Linked DNA regions of Neurospora crassa OR74A. Each later gene encodes a partner of the first gene's protein in a complex. Links are inferred from orthologs where the notes say so. Each region holds a gene or a part of one and is shown in the gene's direction. Other genes may lie near its edges.

Region 1 (4,192 bases):
CTGACGGCCACAGCAGCGGCGTCTAAAACAAGTTATAAGTACCAGCCCGGCTACCTACCTCTAGGTAAGGTACCTACTCACCTCTGACAGCCGATTTGATGCAAGTAGGAGGCGTTCGGGGAGTCGATTCAAATCCTCCGTCCTCCCTCCCTCGCCCCGATCTAGACTCAACGGCAGCAAGGGCGCGCCTACCTATCTACCTACATACACCCATCACCACGCACCCACCCTGAGTACCTCTGTGTAGATATGGAAGTAAGTCCGGGGCGAAGGATCGCAACCGCGCGGCGGGGTTTGGGAATCCTTCGGAAGTCTACCTACTTGGAATTGGGAACTTTGCTGCTGCTCCAAACCGGCGGTTAAGTAGTAATGAGCAGACAAGCGCCGCCGCCGCGATTTGATGAGCCCCGTTTTTCTTCCATCGTGACAGTCGCTGCTCGTATTCACTCATGCGCCAACAACCGCCGGTGGTGGCATACGAGAGTCGGGGTATCAAAGTCACCACCCAAAGTGGAATATGTACCTGGCAGTCAGTTGACGTTCCATGAAGAGTGGTGGGTGACTCCCGAGTCGATGTGGGAACTTTGAGCTCTTGGATTCCAACAACTACCTACGGGACAGCCACATAAAGGTTATGCTGAGATACTGCATGTGTGACTGAGAGATATGAAAGTGTTGAGGATCGCCGTGGTACTCCACGGACGGTATTGAAGTGAGAGGTGGAATTAATCTATTTGCTCCCGATCGTTGATTTCAAGCGTCTGAGATGATGAGGTTTCTCCCTTCTTGCAGCTTGTTTTGGCGCTTTCGTTTTCCCGCTACTTTGAAGGACCTGTCTTTCCATCGGTCGTTTTTTTAATCTTCCTTTTGAATAAGACCCATGGACTGATAGATAATCGGCAAGATGGCGATCCTTCGTACTGAGCGCGGAAGTACCAACACTGATAGTTATCGTATAATCCGAATCCGAGGAAATTCCAAGTCCGCCGATTGCTGTAGACTTGAAGCATTGCAATCACTAAGAGAAGACGGACTACCTCTATCAGCGCGGCCTGTGCACCAGTTTTTGAGCATGGAAGCGAGTGTGCGCAAAGGAAATATGAATATAGAGGCTGCTGAGGAAGTGGAAGTGACGATGAAGTTGTGGTGTTCCAGTCGTTTTTGAATGTGAAGGCCACAGTGCAATTGAACTATGAGAAAGACTGTGCGTGTGGGGGGTCCACACTCACTGCAGTCAATCCGGCATCAGCGGGCCGGCAACAAGCGTGCCGGACCGGCAGCAGCTCACCGTAAAAGTATCACCGTACCTGACCTTGTGCCAGATCCGGATTCCCAGAAACAGCACATCATTGATCCATCAAATCCACCGAGATCCTGTCCTGAAGCTGATCGCCACAGGCCACCGCCAGGCAACCTTGGCACGTGCTTTCTCGACTTCACAAATCTATACAACAACAAGCGCAATACAAACAGCCATAATAATAGAGATACGCGGTCTAGGGGAAGACCTGAGGCTGCATACTTGAGACAAGGGAGGAGGCCCCTTTGAATACCGAAGAACAGACGAACGACTGCCCCCGCCAAGACCCAAGATAGAAGCTCCAGCGTGCAGACACATGCCAAAAGTTGACCTCGATTTCACGACTTCTCGCTTCTCACCAAACCAAACATCGAAATAGAACATCAAACGACCATATTAAGCATCAGCCCTGTCGCACTTCTCCATCCGGACACCCGCGTCGATTAGATATTCTGCGACATAGTAAAACCAGCAAGAACATTCATCAACGTTGCTGCTGCCCGCGCAGCCATTCGTAATTCCTTCCCTTTGTCCGTGTATCCAAGGCCGTGATACTACACGCCCACCATGGAGTTCAACATCGAGTAAGAGCCAAATCCGAGATGACGCGTTCGCGTTCTTGGTCTGTAAAAAACCAGATAACTAACTTGCCGGCAAACAACAGCGATCTCCCAGTTCTGTTTCCTTACCCAAGGATATATCCAGGTATGTGAGCTCATCCACATTGGTACACCATCACAAGTGCTGACAGACCGACTACACAGAACAATATGCGTACATGGTGGACTTGAAAAGTGAGCATTCAACAAATAGCTCACACTCATCACACGTCCACTGACCACCACCACTCCCCACAGAAACCCTCGATGCAGGCGGGAACTGTGTCCTGGAAATGCCTTCGGGCACCGGCAAGACCGTCACCCTTTTGTCACTCATCGTCGCCTACCAGCAATACTACCCAGAGCACCGGAAGCTGATCTACTGCTCGCGAACAATGTCCGAAATCGAAAAGGCCCTCGTTGAGCTGAGAGCACTCATGAAGTTCCGAGCCGAGCGGCTGGGGCACGAAGAAGAGTTTCGCGGTCTCGGTCTGACAAGTCGAAAGAACCTGTGTCTGCATCCCTCGGTCAAGCGGGAGAAGAGCGGTGCCATTGTCGACGCGAGGTGTCGCAGCTTGACGGCCGGCTTCGTCAAGGAGAAGAGGGAAAAGGGGGAGAATGTGGAGACGTGCGTCTACCACGACAATCTCGACCTTCTAGAACCGCATAACTTGATCCCTAACGGAATTTGGACACTGGATGGCCTGATGAGGTATGGCGAGGAAAAGAAACAGTGTCCTTATTTCACTGCCAGGAGGATGGTAGGTCTCTTCTCAACACCCCAGGATGCGGATGTAATAGCTCGAGATGCCATACATACTAACAGCTCATATGTAGATGCAACACTGCAACGTCATCATCTACTCCTATCACTACCTCCTAGACCCCAAGATCGCCGAGCGCGTGTCCAAGGATCTATCCAAGGACTGCATCGTCGTCTTTGACGAGGCTCACAACATCGACAACGTCTGCATCGAGTCTCTAAGTACCGACATCACCCAGGACTCACTGATGAGGGCAACCAGGGGTGCTCAGAACTTGGAGGCCAAAATCAGCGAGATGAAGGACTCTGATCAAGAGAAACTTCAGTCCGAGTACGAAAAGCTAGTCGAAGGACTCAAGGGTCTAGATGAAGGGCGACAGGAGGATGCTTTTATGGCTAACCCAACACTACCCGACGATCTGCTCAAGGAGGCTGTCCCCGGCAATATCAGGCGAGCCGAGCACTTCGTTGCCTTCCTCCGGAGATTCATCGAATACCTCAAGACCCGCATGAAGGTCCGCCAGGTCATCTCCGAAACACCACCATCCTTCCTCGCCCACCTGAAAGAATACACCTTCATCGAGAAGAAACCGCTCCGGTTCTGCGCCGAGCGTCTAACCTCGCTAGTACGGACCCTCGAGCTCACCAACATTGAAGACTACCGGCCACTCCAAGAAGTAGCCACCTTTGCAACCCTCGTCGCCACCTACGAAAAGGGCTTCCTACTGATCCTCGAGCCCTACGAATCCGACACGGCCAAGACCCCGAACCCAGTCCTGCACTTCACCTGCCTCGACGCCGCCATCGCCATCAAGCCCGTCTTCGACCGATTCAGCTCCGTCATCATCACCTCCGGTACCATTTCCCCCCTTGAAATGTACCCCAAAATGCTCAACTTCGAAACCGTCGTGCAGGAATCCTACGCCATGACCCTCGCCCGCCGCTCTTTCCTCCCCATGATCGTCACCCGCGGCTCCGACCAGGCCTCCATCTCCACCTCCTTCCAAGTCCGCAACGAGCCCAGCGTCGTGCGCAACTACGGCAATCTCCTGACCGAGTTCGCCCGCATCACGCCCGACGGCATGGTCGTCTTCTTTCCCTCGTACTTGTACATGGAATCCATCATCTCCATGTGGCAAGGCATGGGCATCCTCGACGAAGTGTGGAAGCACAAACTCATTCTGGTCGAAACCCCAGACGCGCAAGAAACCTCGCTAGCGCTCGAGACGTACCGCACCGCCTGTTGCAACGGCCGCGGCGCCATCTTGCTCTGCGTCGCGCGCGGTAAAGTGTCCGAAGGCATCGACTTTGACCACCAGTACGGCCGCACCGTGCTCTGTATTGGCGTGCCCTTCCAGTACACCGAGTCGCGCATCCTCAAGGCCCGCTTGGAGTTCCTGCGCGAAACGTACCGCATCCGCGAAAACGACTTTCTCTCTTTCGACGCCATGCGCCACGCCGCGCAGTGTCTGGGGCGCGTCTTGCGCGGAAAAGACGACTACGGAGTCATGGTGCTGGCGGACCGGCGCT
Region 2 (4,358 bases), on another chromosome or scaffold:
GAGTGCCTTATGAAGAACAGCGGCTGAAGTGCAAATCAAACTTCAACGTCAAGCAAATCCAATAATGCGAAAACCGAAAGCAGGTACTCTAAGGGTATCTTTCTATGAGTTGAAAGGATAATGAAAATGCAGAGACGTAACATCGCTAATCGCCCACTCGCCCGAGGTCTAACAACTCTATGTACACCATGCATACGCACCTATGTCCAGGTTGACTCTCATGACTTTTACTCCACATCATCCTCGGCAATCACAGCTCCCTCCGGAGGCGTGAAGAGCTCAGTCCCATTTTGGGACTTCCAGGCGTTGGCGACATACTTTGTATGACTACCACGGGCACATAGCTCGCCCTTTTGGTTGCGGAAAGTGACGGTGGTGTAGGCAAGAGTCTTGCCCACTGTTTGGTTGTTGATGATGAAGGTTAGTCATGTCAATAATTCATGTTGCTGATGCAAAGGGGCAGGAAGAAAGACTTACTCTTGTCACACACAGCGGTCCCGGAAATCTTCTCGCCGACTTTCCCACCGCTACTAAGGTAGGTAACTGAGTTTTTTCATATACATTTTAGTATTGTGTGTTTGCGGAAAGCAGCACATAACTGGGCTGGAGTTCTTTTGTCCGAGTAGGCATGAATCAATCTCATGGAAGGAAGGAAACATACCGTTCAGATCCGTCGACACACCGGTGGCGTAGAGTCCTTTCGAGGCTACAGCCAGAGAACCACCAAGGTCAACCATGCTGGCGATGGTCCCGCCGTGGATGATCTTTAGACGGTTGGTGTGGTCTTTGGTGATGTCGAGTTCAAAGTCGACCTTGCCTTCGGTGGCACCGGTTACCCGGAGCTAGTTTGGTCATATCAGTTACATGTTCGTTGTATCCATGGAATTTTGTGGTGTCTTTTGCCTACATGAGGTCCGAGGAGTCTGTAAAATTTGGTCAGTCTCATGTCTTGATCTCTTCTTGACAGACCATGGTGATGTGTCATCACTTACCTCGGCTCAAGGCCGGACTCGGCCATGAACGACTTCAGGACCTAACATGCTGTAAGCAACCGAGTCAATGCAGCTGTGAAATGAGTTCCTGAACTAACCGATCTCACGAATCTCGCTGGTGGAAGCTTGGGTGCCATTTTTTTGTTGCTGTTGACCTCGAAATAGGAGACGATGTAAGAGGGATACACGAGGTGTGCTTCAGATGCGGTGTCTGGACTACCTCTAGGTGGACTTGGGGACGGAACACTGCTGTGAATGCCGGAAATCACCACCCGGGACAGGCGCTGTTACAGTGGCTTTAGAAGCAGACTGGCCGACCCGGGAGACGGTAGACAAATGCCGGACAGTGGAACGGTGACGTCGTAACAGGGACTGGTAGTGCCTGCCACGAGGGTCCGAAGTCCCCACTTATGCTTGGTGACCACCTGCAAGGGCACCACGGGGCAGGCAACCTATCCTCGCGCGCGTACAACGCAATGATCATCAACAGCCTTCAAGGTCTTCTTTTGCACCTTATGCCTTTCACCCACAAGTGCCACCGGCTACACCATTATCGCTCGATTCCCTGGGTACCTACCGAATAAACATATACTCGATTCATCATAAATCACACTTCCGTCGATATAACACTTTCCACCTAGAAGTTGGTTTTGGTCCCCATATCTGCCAGCAGAAGTCAACCAGTAGCATTACATCGTGATCCTCTCGACGAGCCATCTGGACTTGACGACATTCGAAGCACTACGTTTACCGAATATTCGACTTGACCTTTCACATTGCCATTCACATAGCGATAACGAATCTCTATTAGCGGCCCGCTGTGCCCGCCCGTCTATCCACCATGTCACTCGGCGGACAACAGCTCCTCGAGTACTTGGAGAAGCTGCCAGGTACAGCTTTTAGGAGACTGTACCAGTCACCAGCGACAGCTTTGGCCATCTTCCGCCGTATGCTGTCTTATCATGGTATGCAATTGTTCCTCGAGTCAGATACCGAAGTCTTGGACGCCGAATCTATAGCATGTAGCTAACTCCTTTGTCCCTCGATAGCCAAGGTTATTGTCCGAGGTCTACTGTACATGCCCGACCCATTCCCGTTAACCTCCCTTGACATATGGTTCCCTCCAGAGGGCGGCGGAAAGATACATCGCGATCGCACCATTGCCGCTCTCCGATCCCTCCACATCCTACAGGTCTCACCACCAAGCAAGGACCGAACCCAAGAAATCCAAATCACGGCGAGCTTCAAGAAAGGCCTACAACTAGCCTTCGAAGGGGGCGGCGAAGATGGCAGCTTTGGCGTCCCTAGTTCTCTTCCCGTCGATCCCTCCATCGACATCGCCTACCTGGACAGGTACGCTCGTAAGAAGTGGGACGACATCCTCCACTACGTTGTCAACAGTCTTGGGGTCCACGGCAGCTCAGAAGGGGTCAGCGGACCCAAGGCCAGTGTGAAGGAACTACTCTTGGCCGGACGCCTCGTCGAACGACGTCCAGACACCCGTACAGGAATCGGAATTACGCAAGCCGGTTTCACCTTCCTTCTCCAGGAGTCCAACGCCCAAGTATGGACGCTCCTCCTCCTCTGGCTCGAAGCAGCCGACCACACGGCCGACTCGGGCATGGACAGCATTGACATGCTCTCCTTCCTCTTCATGCTCAGCTCGCTTGAGCTTGGAACTGCCTACGATACTTCGGCCCTGACCGAGACGCGGCGGAATATGCTTCCCTCGCTCGTCGACTTCGGGCTCATCTACTTCCCGCGCGACACGCGCCAGTTTTTCCCTACCCGCCTGGCCACCACACTGACCAGTACCGCCTCGGCCCTGCGCACCGTCTCCTCGGCTTTCACGGCCGCAACCGCCAACCCCTCGGGCGAGCCCGGCACCACGACCAGCACCAGCGGCGGCCCCGCCGCCACCCCCGACAAAACACAGACAGCAGCCAAGGGCATCATCATCGAGACCAACTATCGTATCTACGCCTACACCACCTCCCCGCTACAAATCGCCGTCCTGGCTCTCTTCTGCCAGCTCAACATGCGTTTCCCCAACATGGTCTCGGGCCGCCTAACCCGCGACTCCATCCGCCAAGCAATCGGCTTCGGCATCACCGCCGACCAAATCATTTCCTACCTACACGCGCATGCTCATCAACAAATGGTGCGCGAAGCCACGGTCACGGGTAAACCGGTGCTTCCCCCGACGGTGGTGGACCAGATCAGGCTTTGGCAGCTGGAGAACGAAAGGATGCAGACCACGGCGGGCTTCTTGTTCAAGGACTTTGAGAGCACGGAGGAGTACGCGGCGCTGAGCAGGTATGCGGAGGAGATTGGCGTACTAGTGTGGAAGAATGATAAGAGGCAGCTCTTTTTTGCCAGCAAGCATGAGCAGTTGAGGGATTATTTGAAGAGTCGGAAGAAGGGGGAGTAAGAGGGGCAGGTTTGTAAGAGAGGGTGGTTTGGATTCGGGGGTGGTTCAGTATGGTTGGAATGAACCCAAGTACCTAGGTACCTCTTGTGGGTGGATGCAATGGGTAGGCGATGGGGTCTTGCATCGTAAAACTTTTACATCTGTGGGCAGGGCAGGATCAACATTTGCATTGAAAAAAGGAGTTCTGGCTTGGGTGGGTGGTTTGGCATCACGCAATTACTAGCTTATACTGTAGACAGGAGTTGGGGGTAAGAAAGGGCCATGTTCAAAATACGAGGTAATGGTCGCCTCGAAATAGGGATGACCTCTTACAAAACAAAGAACTCGATTTCATATGATCATACACATGCAAACCTCTTTTTGACATTCGATTGAGAACAACGCTTCAAGTCATCGGGAGACGTACTATACGAGACCGAAGAGATTGGAAAAAGGGTGCTCGAACAAAATCAGCCTGCTCACTGTGCTACACATCTTTGTGATATACACCTCTTGATACGCCATCCTAGCTGACAGGGCTCAATGACAGGAGTATTGGCGAGGGACTGATCATACTCGGCGGCAATTGCACCTGTACCGAAACTCAAAGTTTGATCATTGAAAGAAATGTCAATACAAGACTAACTACCATTTATTTGCGTTACCATTATGAGGTTCAAGGCATCAATGAATGCCAGAACTGCCCTCTACAACGCCGGACCTTTGCCTCTTACCCTGGGTATGTGAAGCGGTAAGATGAGGTCGGAAACCGAGAAAATACTCTATAGAGAAGTCCGACCATGCCTGTTACCATGAATATCTAGAGCGAAATGACTATGCTCTTGTTCTGTAGTCTCTTCCATCACTCCAAAAGGAGGCCGTAATGCTTGCTCTATCTTTCAAGCCAATAATACACATGCAATAATAGTACAGCTCATAAATCCGTTCCATCGTCC
Region 3 (4,204 bases), about 670 kb from region 1:
TCTGGCAAAGCTCCAGGTACAGGTTTGTCCATCGTTTGGGGCCAAATGGCGTACACGATACTGCCCCTTTCCCATACAGAACCTGGAGGCGAATAAACCATTCCTTGGGCGCAGCGACCGAGGAGGACCATGAACAATCTGGCCCTTTTTGTGTGAAAATTTCGACCGCGTACGACTGATCGCGAGTTGGTTAATCAATTGCGCCCATACAAGCGGCTGAGGTATTACGTCAGAGGCGGCACAGGTCAGTCTTGGCCGTTGACCAGTGAGCGGGGATCTTTGGAAACCTCGGCCGAAGGTGCCGTGACGTAACGTCAATCCAGTTGGCGTTTCTTATTGGCCACCTGTCAGCGCGTAGGTCGCAGGCGAGCCACGATCAACCGCAGAGCTGGAACGGGCCGGCACGGGGCCGGCACATCTACATGTGCCTTACTACTAACGGCGAGGCTACTCCACGGCGCAACCTTTCATCGCATTTCACGATCCTACAATACCTCGCTACGAAGCTTCTGTCGGGCACATCACGCCAAGTACGCGGTCCGCTTTAAGGTCGCATCTTACTGCATTCCTTCATCGAGTATATGTACATAACTCGATGCAGTAATTAGCTTCGATCTTCTCTCCCCCATCTCCAGTAAGTATTGCTAGTTGTGCACTGCACTGTGACAGTTGTTTCGCTCAAGGTAAGGGTCGGTGTTTACCTGTTTCACCACATCACGAAACATGCGACTCACGCCATACGGTGTCTGTCTCGCTGGTGACCTTGCAGATTCATTGGACCACGATACCGAAACGGATATATGGACACATCAAAGCCGTGGACCCCATTCCGTCGTCTGGACTCTAGAATTCGGGAGAGCCCGTGCCCGGAATCCGGACCGGAACGGACAGTTGGACTCCCTGGCTGGCCGTTTTCCACGTGGGATTCCCATTTTGCCAAGCGATTTGACCGCACAAGTATCACGCACCCCCGCAGTACCGACGACGACCGATCCATGATTTATTTGAGCCTTGTATGCCTACATACTCTTTGAGGTTCTTGATTACTTCAACAGTCTGGTGAACCCCGGGCACAAGCATGTGAAAGTCGCAGGCCCCCGAAGGCATAGCCCTACATCGCCTCAAGACAATCCAGTGGCCCTTCTGGGTAGCGGGCACATCATGTAGTATATACTTGACACATATGCACGTCCTTTGAATGTCGTGACTCGTAACCAAGCTTCAAATCAGAGTTGACCTTCGCTTTGAAGTTGTGGTGGAACCAGATTTCGCTGTCGAATTTCGAGGCCCGTAGTTACACAAACGAGATGTCGGTACCCAGCACCGATCTGATTCGATTTCACAGGCCCCACTCTTCCTGCGAGGCTGCCTACATACACGAGTTCGCGCATTTGGGGAACAGCCTTGCAGTCCAGTAAACATTTCCGGCTTCCACCACACACCACGAACCTTTGTTCAGCTTGTGCATTCAACGTCGTCGCGTATCCCCTTTTCTCCATTCTTTCTTATTTCTCTCCGGCACTTTTTCAGCGCGACAACCAGTACCCGGCCTCCCGATCAACACCTACCAGGGAGTTGTCTACACGAACACGACTAAAGGCCCTGATTATCGAACTTCTGAACCTTCCACTCGTTTCGAAGTGACCCTCGAGCTTCTCCCACTAAGAGCGCCAGCTACTATCCGTCAAACTATCCCGACAAACATACGCAAACATGGCTGACTCGGACGGCGAGTACGCCTCCGACGATGAGCTCAAGAGGCATGGAAAGAGGACAGCGGACGGGCGCAGCAAGCAAACCAAGGCGTCATGGGAAGATGTTAAGCGCTCCTGGGATACCGTCTTGGAAACAGCGGACAGCGGCCTCTCCATCGCAGAGATTCGGGAGGCCGAGAAGCGGCGTCGCCTTCTGCGCGACACGACACCTCTTCAGCGTGGAATTATCCGCCATCTGATGCTTGTGCTCGACATGAGTTTCGCCATGGCCGACAAAGATCTGCTACCAAACCGTTACCGAGTCGTCCTAAATAACGCCATTGGCTTCGTACGCGAGTATTTCGAGCAGAATCCCATCAGTCAGCTAGGCATCGTGGGAATGCGCGATGGAATTGCTGTGCGAATAAGCGACCTGAGCGGGAATCCGGCCGAGCACATCGAAAAGTTGATGCAATGGAGCGAGCAACAAGACCCCCAAGGAAATCCGAGTTTACAGAATGCACTTCAAATGTGCCGAGGTGCTCTATAGTCAGCGCTACGGCCCACCCCCTCCGTGACAGAGGTCATTCGCTAACCGCTTCATGTTTTTGTACAGTCAAACGCCGTCACATGCCACGCGCGAAATACTGATAATCTACGGTGCCCTCGTCTCAATCGATCCGGGCGACATACACGACACCATCAACGACCTCGTAGCCGACCGCATCCGCGTCTCGGTCGTTGGCCTCGCCGGCCAAGTCGCCATCTGCAGCGAGCTTTGCAAGCGGACGAACAACCACGACGGCAACTACAGCGTCGCCGTAGACGAGGTGCACCTCAAGGAGCTCTTCTTCGCCGCCACCACTCCGCCCGTCACCCGCACGCCCGAGCAAAACACCGCCAGCCTGCTCATGATGGGCTTTCCCAGCCGCACGCTTGCTCCGAAAGACCATGTCAGCTTCTGCGCCTGCCACGCGAAGCCCACGCGCGAGGGGTACACCTGTCCGCGCTGCGGAATCAAAGTGTGCCGGCTGCCGATCGACTGTCCGATCTGCAAGCTGACGCTCATCCAGAGCACGCACTTGGCGAGGTCGTACCATCATCTGTTCCCGCTCAAGGTGTTTGTGGAGGTTCCGTGGTCTCAGGCGTATAAGTCGACGGCGTGCTACTCGTGCCTGACACCCTTTCCTGCTAGGCCAAGGGATTCAGTGGCGGCAGCGCCAGCTGTGTTAGGAGGGAGAGCCGGAGCTAAAGGTAGCGGGAAACAACAGGACGGCGAGCAGAAAAATCCAAAACCGGAACTCAAGGGTGTCAGCGAAAGCGGGCGGTATGCTTGCCAGGTATGCGGAAATCATTTTTGCATAGACTGTGATGTCTTTGCCCACGAGACTATTCATAATTGTCCTGGGTGTCAGAGCGATACGAGGGATGTGGAGAAGGATACGGCAGTAGCAGTACCAGACGGTGGCCCTACACCCATGGTGATGGATTCCTAGAGTGAGGAGCATGCTACAAATGGCGGCAGATGGAGGACAACAATTAGCCGCTCCGCTTGAACGTTTCAGATTCTTCGGGCGGAACCGAACCGGCCACTCTGGTTAAGAGCATCGATAGTATGGTATCGTGAACGAAAACGATACGATGACCCGAAACAGAGCAGTTTTAAGGGTATGGCGAACATATCTGTTACATGGAGGGGTTGGCGCTGCAAAGAACACGAAAATATACACGGCATCACGATCAAAATATACCCAGACGACTTGGCTAAGAAGAAAGTCCAAAGTGGAACTCCCAAAACCAAAGCTGTAAGGGACACCAGCCGAATAACTAGAGACGACGGGGTCATGGCTTCTTCATGCTCTTTACCAACAAGGCAGTGCAAAGGGATACTAGCGAAAGGGCTAAAGAAATGACGGGATCCAACAGATGTGAAATGGTCCTATGAATTCAAGAAGACGATTCGTTGGGTGTGGCGCATCTGTGAAGGAGATGGGAGACGGATATGGTTATGGAAGAATGATCAAGAAGACTCTTTGCGTATCGGTAGAGTCCCTTGTGACGAGGGGAAAGAGAGGACGGGCACGCAACGAATCATAGATGTGGAGTGATACGGCAATGTGAGATTTTGAGACCATACCAGCATCATCAAGTAGCGTACTAAAATAGCTAATCTTCATATGTCTACACGGTTCCGGTGATGTTCCGATAAAGGAAAAATCCTGCCCTTGAACAAATCGGACAAATTATATGCAAGTAGGTAGGAGTGCGTGGTGAAAAACGAGTGAAGAGCAGAATGCGAAAGGAACTTGTTGGGCGATCATGACTGGCGATTTATGAACAGGTCAACAAAATGTTTCAACCCCTCGTTTTCATTCGAAGCTAATACACCACCGTGAATTCGCTCATTACCTACAATTTCACATAGCTGATTTCAGAATGACAAAGTACTATGTAAGCACGTGTCAAAATCATCACATGATTTGCATAACTATGCCAAAGCTACTTTCATG
Region 4 (4,173 bases), on another chromosome or scaffold:
TTCCTCGCTGCGTTGTGATTCCGTACTCCAACTCCAACTTCAACTCCAACTCCAACAGCCCAGCCACTCAACCAAGCTTATCAGCGTCCACATCCGGGTCAAATATCGAGATCTGGTTCATGGTCTTCTTCGTTTGCTTGACTCTTTCGTCCTTGAGCATGCGCGCATCCATTCTCGCATCCTCGCCCTCGACCCTGAGAGCAGCCTTGGGCGTCACGGCCTCGATGATGTAGTGGTTGTCGCAGTGCGGGCAGTATTCGTCGGAATCCTCGAACTCGGTCGCATCCTTGCGGAAACACTTTTTGCACTTTTTGCAGGCAAAAGTCATCTCGAGTGTCTTCTTAAGGGGGTGCGACTCGGACTCGGCGTGGCATTCGGGACAGTCGAACCATTTGCGGCCTGCGTAGGAGGTGGGTGTAGAGTTAGAGGTCATGTTTATATGGCTGCGATGTTCGGTGTTGTTGTCGTTGTATACTGGTAATAGGGAATCGTGGTGGTTCGTTTATTTGAGACTGAGGTTACGTACAGCATGGTGACCGGATGGAGACTTGAGCATTGAGAACGTGTTTACTGGATGGGAGAGGATCTAGTTAGCAGGTGGTTCGTGGAAGTGGTCTACACGAGCAAACAAGGGGAACATAAGTAGAAGGCATGCCGAAGTGTCAGGTCATGGCATGGCAGGTGGGAGTTTACTTACCACATGATGACAGACAGGAAGAGGTTACTTATGCGCAGAGAGGTAGATAGTGTAGATGGCTCGTTCTGATCCCTGATTTTATGATATTTCGTCGTTGTTGGGTTCTATGTGGTATGTACGACACCAAGATTCTTTCGACGTCGCTTCGTTCTCCTTGATCGCCAATGTTCACGTCCGGAAAAAAAAGGGTTCACCGAACTTTATCACGGCACTTAACGCGGTCGTCCCGTCGCCCCCCCCTTCGTCCACCCACCCAGACCAGAACCGACCCGACCACCACTCAACGCGGGGTGCTTTTCGGACTGGACAGCGGGTGACACGGGTGGAGCCTGCAACTGAGGGAGTGCACTGAACGCCGAACGGTTCCCTCCACTTCCAGGTTGGCTCCAGAAGACTCGCTTCCCCACAAAATAAGCGTGGCTGATGACTAAACTAGCGTGTCTGGCCCCTGTCGGCCTTGCTGTCACAGCGGCTCGGGCGCCCGGCTCCTACGGTATCGCCTTAACAATTTCCATAACAGGACAGGAACCGCAGTGTAAGCAAACTAGGCCTGCTGTACTTGTACCCTACAATACCTCTGCTTGTAGAGCCAGGTATCTACCGTAGCGTACAAAAGACAAAGTGGAATTTCATCATCCATTTCAAACTCCCATCCTTTCAACCTTGTATTCTTTTTTTGCCACTGCACTGGCATTCTTCATTTGTCCGCCTGCTAATCCATCCTTCTAGAACTGAAACTGCTAGAAATAGATAAAACAGAGCAGAGACAAGAAAGAAAGAAAGGAGATCACGTTTTCGTCATACACATAATGCCGCCCAAGCGAAAAGCGGTCGGCGCCCCCCAGGCCGGCGTTGCCAAAGCTGGCCGCACTTCGGCCCTGTCCACTCCCGGCCCCGCGACTCCCCGCAGCCTCGAGAGCTCGTTCCAGTCGGACGGCGATGATGATTTGAACGACGACGACGTCGACGAGGTCATCAAGAGGAAAGAGGAGGTGATTGCCCGCGAGGCCGACGAGTTCGTCAATACATGGGCCGTCGATAGTAGCCGTTTCCAGGCCCGACAGGACGGTGGCGGCAGTCATCGTGACGGCGCCACCCAGTTCTTTGGCAGCGGGAAACGCGACTTTTCGTATCTGAACTTGAAACCCGACCACGACCAGAAGCCGCTGTGGATCGACCCGGAGAAGGGCACCATCATACTCGAGAAGTTCAGCCCGGACGCCGACCGCGTCACCGACTTCCTCGTCACCATTGCCGAGCCCAAGTCACGGCCGCATTTCCTGCATGAGTATCAGTTGACCGCCCACAGTCTCTACGCTGGTGTGTCCATTGGCCTGCAGTCAAAGGATATTATAGACACCCTGGATCGCTTCCTCAAGACCCCCCTGCCCGAGTCCATTCGTCTCTTCATTGAGTCGTGCACAAAGAGCTACGGCAAGGTGAAACTCGTGCTGAATAACAACAAGTACTTTGTAGAAAGCTCGGATGCCGAGTTGTTGCAGAAGCTGCTCCGCGATGAAGTAATCGGAAAGTGGCGTGTCCAGGGCTCCGGTGATATTACCACCTCCTATGCGCCCACCATGGGCGGCCTGGTCATCCCCGGCACCAAAGATGCCGCCGGTGTGAACCAGGCAGGCCTCAACAAGTCTGGCAACAAGAAGACTGCCGAGGATGGGGCCGCGGACGCTGCGGCGACTAACGAGGCAGACCTCTACGCAGCCATCAATGAGGAAGACGACGAGGACGACAAGGACGCCGTCCATGCCTTTGAGATCCCCGAAACCGCCGTCGAGATTGTCCAACGACGCTGTCTTGACCTAGGATTTCCCATCTTGGAGGAGTACGACTTCAGGAACGACTCTAATAACGCGGATCTGGAAATCGATCTGCGACCAAACACACAGATTCGTCCGTACCAGGAGCAGAGTCTCAGCAAAATGTTTGGTAACGGCAGAGCAAAGAGTGGCATCATTGTTCTGCCGTGCGGTGCAGGCAAGACCTTGGTCGGCATTACGGCTGCCTGCACCATCAAAAAGGGTGTCATCGTCCTGTGTACCAGCAGTATGTCCGTCGTGCAATGGCGCCAGGAGTTCCTCAAGTGGTCCAACATCAACCCCGACGATATTGCCGTCTTTACCGCTGAGAGCAAGAACAAGTTCTCTGGTAATACGGGTATCATTGTTACTACATATTCTATGGTTACCAACAACCGAGAACGATCTCACGACTCCAAGAAGATGATGGATTTCCTCAAGAGTCGTGAATGGGGTCTGATGCTTCTCGACGAGGTCCACGTCGTCCCTGCCGACGTCTTCCGAAGAGTTATCTCTTCCATCAAGTCGCACTCCAAGCTGGGTCTCACAGCCACCCTGCTCAGAGAAGACGACAAGATTTCCCACTTGAACTTCCTAATCGGCCCCAAGCTCTACGAGGCCAACTGGATGGAGCTATCCGAAAAGGGTCACATCGCCAAGGTCCAGTGCGCAGAGGTGTGGTGTCCTATGCCCACCGAGTTCTACGACGAGTATCTTCGTGCCAACTCGCGCATGAAGCGCACTCTTTACGCCATGAACCCCCGAAAGTTCCAGGCCTGCCAGTACCTGATCAACTACCACGAAGCCCGCGGCGACAAGATCATCGTCTTCTCCGACGAGCTGTACTCACTAAAACAATACGCCCTCAAGCTAAATAAAGTCTTTATCTACGGCGGCACCGGCCAAGCCGAGCGCATGCAAGTGCTCGAAAACTTCCAGCACAACCCGCAAGTCAACACGCTCTTCCTCTCCAAGATCGGCGACACCTCGCTCGACTTGCCCGAAGCCACCTGTCTCATCCAAATCTCCTCCCACTTCGGTTCCCGTCGTCAGGAAGCCCAGCGCCTAGGCCGTATCCTCCGAGCCAAGCGCCGTAACGACGTCGGCTTCAACGCCTTCTTTTACTCACTCGTGTCCAAAGACACGCAGGAAATGTACTACTCGTCCAAGCGCCAGGCCTTCCTGGTCGACCAGGGCTACGCCTTCAAGGTGATCACGCAGCTGGCCAACATCGAGAACACGCCCGACCTGGCCTTCGCCACGGCGCAGGAGCGGCGCGAGCTGCTGCAGCGCACACTGGTCGACAATGAAAAGGGCGCCGAGGATGATGTCGAGACGGACGATCTGTTTGGTAAGGTCGGGCGCGGAAGGGGTGGCGCAAAGGGCAGAGCGGCGGCGGTTCGGAGAATGGCTGGAACCCTGGGCGAGCTCAGTGGTGGTCAGGATATGGCGTACATTGAGCAGAACAAGGCGGCGAATAAGGGGTTGAAGAAGAAGGGTGCCGCCAAGGCGGAGCAGAGCGCCTTCTTCAAGAAGCTGCAGAGGGAGAAGGAGAGGAGTCGGGCTTTGGCGAGACAGGGCTAGAAGAAACCGTCTTGATTTGGGGTCTTTGACTTGTATTCTCCCTCTCTCTTTTTGCGCTCATTTTGCATCGTCCGTCCG
Region 5 (4,092 bases), about 1.3 Mb from region 1:
ACCCAACAAACTTGAAGGGGACATCAATGTGAGATTCTCTCGGTACCTCCATAGCCGCAAACTCGCCTACCTTCAGTTATTTACTGCTCAGTCTGCTACATACCCATACGTAGTAGCGTACACAATGGAATACACGAAGAGATATCATATCCATCATCTACTCGAATCCGTCCTCCCTCTTGTTGTTTGTCCAAAAGTCACGACGGAGTTCACGGTTCGAGCGGTGACCACGGTAACAGCAAGCATAACCGGAAGTCGTGGAGTTTCTGTGGTTTCAAGGAGGGGGACGGGAGCTGTGTCTCCATGACAAGTCATCGGGCACGCAGCAAACTGGGAAAGTGTGGAAGAGCTGGAAGTTACGGTCTGGAGAGTGCTACTGTAATTATTTCATTACGCATTGGCTCCCGCACCTCCCGTCGAGACTGGAGTTGGAGGCTCCGAGACCTGACCCGAGTCCCTTTTCCCCGGAAATCACGGTTCCCGTCTTTTTGGACCAAGTATCCAATCTTACCGTGGAAAGTGGGGAAAACTTCCATGTCCGAGGTGGAAATGTACGGTAACGCTTTCGGTCCCATCTTTGAGCGCGAACTTTTCGAAGCTTTCGCTTGGGGCATCGAACTGATGGAACTGCGCTAGACATGGTCTGGTCGGTATCCTGGGTTATGGGTTTGGGTTCAATTAGCTACTTGGCACTGACCGCCTTGTGACTTGCCGTAGTATCATGTGACTTTTGCAAAAGTCATTTATCAAATCCATTTTGTCAAAGAAGAGACAAGCGAACCGAGTCTAGATCTCGTCTCGATCTCGTCTCGAGTGGTTTATCGAAATGACTTTGAGGTTTGGCTGTTGGTTTCGATTGTGTAATTCACTACAAAATCCTGCATCGTCAGCTGCCACCTTCAACTTCTTCTTCATTATTGAGCCAGTTGCAGCATTGACTGCACGTCACAGTGTTAAATCCCCCAACTCTCATTGGCTGGCCGTGACTGGTTCGCTGCAGTGCAGTTGCTGTTGTCCAAGCTCTGCGCTGGCTTCAGATCCTTGGCATTTCCCACCCACGGCACCTGCAGCAGTTCGTCGCCCAGAGCTCAGGTCCTGTGGTGGCCAGAGATCCGACCTGGGTGGACAGCTGCCGTGACACTGTCTGTCGGTTCAAAGTGGAACCTTCCCGAGCTGAAACCTGAAGTTCAAGTTCTTTACACTAGTTGAACAGCCCCAGGGCGACCATGGAATTGTTAGTAGTCGTGCTCCACTGCAGCCTCAGCTGCCGCCTGCCTGCCTGCCACGCATAAACTACCTACTACACTATGTAAACTCACCACCCACTCACCATCCCGCAACGACATCCGCAGCAGCCAATGCCTCACCCCGGATTCAAGACTGACGGGACCTGGATTAGATTTGCTTGGCGTTACTACACTACATCACCACGTCCATCATCGTCTAATGCCGTGTACCTTGACGACTCTCCCGTCTCTCTTCGATATCAGTAAGGCGTAGTACACGAGCACGCTGTGACATACGTATCGCGTTAATACATCCTTGTCAAGGAACACATTGCGAGGCTGGTCCGTCTTTATAACATCAAAAGATTGGGAACTGGGCATTGAGCGTGGACTTGAGATATTCAACGGGCGGTTAGGGAGAGGACTACCTAGCCAACATGGCCCCGATTGAGATTCCCCGGGGACAGGCCTCTTACAAAAAAAGAGAGGGCATCATCACATTAACCCCAGACAAGACAGCCCTGATATGGAGCCCCTTGCCGGGCACTGGCCCACCCGTCATCTCACTTTCCGTATCCAACATCACAAACCTCCAACAGACCCCCAAGACGAATCCCAAGGTCGTCTTGAGAGTCGTCGAGAAACCCAAGGCGCCCGGAGCCGATCCGGCTGCCTATCCCTTCCAGTTCACACATGCCACCGAGGCCAGGAATGAGGCCGATGCCATCAAGGATCTTCTCTCTCAGATCATTGCTGAGCTTCGTGGCGATGACCCTTCTCTACCCAAGCCGGCAAAGTCTGGCCCCAACGGCGCCGGCGCCTCTGCCGCCATGGCCATGGCCAGTGCCGTGAACTCGAAGCATTTGCCGTTTCGCTGGTTCGAAGACGACATGCTAAAGGCCGATGTAGAACTTCAGCAGTCCCTCATGAAGAAGGATAAGGCCTTGGCCCATATATATAACGACGCAAAGCTGTCCAAGCCAGATTCATTATCAGATGCCTCCTTCAACAGCCAGTTCTGGGCCACCCGCATCAGCCTGCTACGTGCCTATGCCATCGAGCTGAACCAGAAGAAGGGCTCATATAACGTCCTATCAACCATCAAGCCCCGGACCGAGAACGGCGAGCTCAAGTTGAACATCAACCATGAGCAGGTCCAGCTCATCTTCCAACAACACCCACTGGTCAAGCGCATCTACAACGAGAACGTCCCCAAGCTCACAGAGTCCGAGTTCTGGTCCCGCTTCTTTCTCAGCCGTCTCTCCAAGAAGCTCCGCGGCGAGCGCATCACCGACAATGACAACACCGACCCCTTATTCGACAAGTATCTCGAAGCCGACAACACCATGGCAGTCCCAGCCAAGATCACCGCCACGAGTGTGCCCCCCATCATCAACATCGAAGGCAACGAAGAAAACCAAGGTGGCTTCAGGGGTGGCAACCTCAAAGACGTCGAGATGCGTCCGCGCGCCAACATCCCCATCATCAAAACGCTCAATTCGCTCTCCGAGAAAATCATGGCCAACGTCGCCCCCACAGACGTCGACCCCTCCGCCGCCTCCTACTCCAAAGACGGCATCGCCGACGCCCTATCCAAACAACTCGCCCTGCAAGACCTCCGTGGCGACGCCGAGGCCCAGCTGATCCGGCTTTCCGTCAAGGACACCTCCACCTTCTTCACAGGCAACCAGCCCTCGCTCACCGACCAAGAAGCCGCCGACGCGCGCCTCTACGCCACCCAAGTCCCCTCGGACGTGCTCTTCGAAGTGCAAGCGGACATGGACACTCTCGACTCGGACGGGCGCGGCGGCATCGATCTCCACCGGTCCATCGGGGTCGATCCCGACTCTGACGACGAGGGTAATAACTCTCTGGACTCTAAAAGCGGACCCAAGCCCCAACACGTCGGCTCCCGCGCTGCGCTACGGTTCGCCCAGAACCAGATCCTCGAGAGCATGAAGTCCGCTCGGTCGCACCTCACCACCACCACCACCCACGGTGGCTCGCACACCACCACCACCAATGCGTCCGAAGAACGACCCATGTCGTTGCCGACGGACATTGCCCACCGCGCTACGCTAACCTGCGCTACGACCGCCGAGTTCCTGAAACAGTTCTGGACGGTGTTTAATAACTCCAGCAACAGCAGCCCAGAAAAGCAGCAAGAATTGGCCTACCTGGCCGACTCGCTCGTGCGCTCGAAACAGAGAATCGAGGCGCTGGCTGACGAAGCGGAGAAGAGGAGACAGGAGATTATGGAGAAGCGGAAAAGGGAGATTAGAGAGTATTATCAAAAGACAGGCCGCAAGGCGAAGTGGGTTCCCGTTGGAGGGGGCAGGGATGCGGTGTGGGCGGCTTTTGAGGGCGTGGTGGGCGGGTTGGAGAGGGCTGTGGCGGTTTGGGAGATGGTTAAAAGTGGGAGGATCTGAAGATATGAGGAAAGACAGTGGCAGAGGTGCGTTGTTAGGGGATGGATGTTGTGCTGTGCTGTGTGGAAACGGGAGGAAGATGGGGAGGATGACTTTCATGAGAGGAGAAGTGATAGAGGAGGATGACATTTGGGAGCGTTGCCATGAACGAGAAAAAGTTTCAAGTATATATAGAGGACAGAAATGGCCCACAAGACAGTAAGGCTGGGATAATTTGGGTTAGGAGAAGGAGAAACAGACTGACTATAGTCACATTAGGAATTATGGCTGAAGACCAATGATGAAAAAAAGCATTAAGAAATTTTCAAGAAAGCAAACTGGTTCTGGACTGATGTGTGATATCTAAAACCAGACTCTTAACACTTTCCAAAACGAAGGTTCCGGTATTCTCAGATTACATCATGTAGATAAAGTTGGAAAGAAAAGGGGGATCTCTT

The links.
Region 2: NCU01625 (region 1) and NCU05523 share a complex: the UniProt entries of both Schizosaccharomyces pombe proteins name them as parts of the 7-subunit TFIIH core complex. The link is inferred for Neurospora crassa OR74A from reciprocal best matches to the Schizosaccharomyces pombe genes rad15 and tfb2.
Region 3: NCU01625 (region 1) and NCU01831 share a complex: the UniProt entries of both Schizosaccharomyces pombe proteins name them as parts of the 7-subunit TFIIH core complex. The link is inferred for Neurospora crassa OR74A from reciprocal best matches to the Schizosaccharomyces pombe genes rad15 and ssl1.
Region 4: NCU01625 (region 1) and NCU06438 share a complex: the UniProt entries of both Schizosaccharomyces pombe proteins name them as parts of the 7-subunit TFIIH core complex. The link is inferred for Neurospora crassa OR74A from reciprocal best matches to the Schizosaccharomyces pombe genes rad15 and ptr8.
Region 5: NCU01625 (region 1) and NCU05423 share a complex: the UniProt entries of both Schizosaccharomyces pombe proteins name them as parts of the 7-subunit TFIIH core complex. The link is inferred for Neurospora crassa OR74A from reciprocal best matches to the Schizosaccharomyces pombe genes rad15 and tfb1.

What each region holds. Positions count from the first base shown.
Region 1 is NC_026502.1:2,932,257-2,936,448, forward strand, and holds the start of NCU01625 (DNA repair helicase RAD3), read left to right. Parts: upstream 1-1,347; 5' UTR 1,348-1,867; coding exon 1,868-1,884; intron 1,885-1,964; coding exon 1,965-2,005; intron 2,006-2,064; coding exon 2,065-2,094; intron 2,095-2,157; coding exon 2,158-2,660; intron 2,661-2,736; coding exon 2,737-4,192. UniProt on the Schizosaccharomyces pombe protein: ATP-dependent 5'-3' DNA helicase, component of the general transcription and DNA repair factor IIH (TFIIH) core complex, which is involved in general and transcription-coupled nucleotide excision repair (NER) of damaged DNA and, when complexed to TFIIK, in RNA transcription by RNA polymerase II.
Region 2 is NC_026506.1:1,624,884-1,629,241, reverse strand, and holds NCU05523 (transcription factor tfb2), read left to right. Parts: upstream 1-1,485; 5' UTR 1,486-1,833; coding exon 1,834-1,957; intron 1,958-2,041; coding exon 2,042-3,423; 3' UTR 3,424-3,757; downstream 3,758-4,358. Other genes in the region: NCU05522 (PaaI thioesterase), read right to left, coding at 228-397, 478-543, 662-842, 908-923, 993-1,033, 1,091-1,129. UniProt on the Schizosaccharomyces pombe protein: Component of the general transcription and DNA repair factor IIH (TFIIH) core complex, which is involved in general and transcription-coupled nucleotide excision repair (NER) of damaged DNA and, when complexed to TFIIK, in RNA transcription by RNA polymerase II.
Region 3 is NC_026502.1:2,258,493-2,262,696, forward strand, and holds NCU01831 (RNA polymerase TFIIH complex subunit Ssl1), read left to right. Parts: upstream 1-1,403; 5' UTR 1,404-1,713; coding exon 1,714-2,243; intron 2,244-2,310; coding exon 2,311-3,190; 3' UTR 3,191-3,891; downstream 3,892-4,204. UniProt on the Schizosaccharomyces pombe protein: Component of the general transcription and DNA repair factor IIH (TFIIH) core complex, which is involved in general and transcription-coupled nucleotide excision repair (NER) of damaged DNA and, when complexed to TFIIK, in RNA transcription by RNA polymerase II.
Region 4 is NC_026503.1:1,415,734-1,419,906, reverse strand, and holds the start of NCU06438 (DNA repair helicase RAD25), read left to right. Parts: upstream 1-1,272; 5' UTR 1,273-1,506; coding exon 1,507-4,095; 3' UTR 4,096-4,173. Other genes in the region: NCU06439 (zinc finger protein), read right to left, coding at 68-399, 527-570, 698-702. UniProt on the Schizosaccharomyces pombe protein: Probable ATP-dependent 3'-5' DNA helicase/translocase. Binds dsDNA rather than ssDNA, unzipping it in a translocase rather than classical helicase activity. Component of the general transcription and DNA repair factor IIH (TFIIH) core complex.
Region 5 is NC_026502.1:1,591,198-1,595,289, reverse strand, and holds NCU05423 (hypothetical protein), read left to right. Parts: upstream 1-1,263; 5' UTR 1,264-1,663; coding exon 1,664-3,655; 3' UTR 3,656-3,969; downstream 3,970-4,092. UniProt on the Schizosaccharomyces pombe protein: Component of the general transcription and DNA repair factor IIH (TFIIH) core complex, which is involved in general and transcription-coupled nucleotide excision repair (NER) of damaged DNA and, when complexed to TFIIK, in RNA transcription by RNA polymerase II.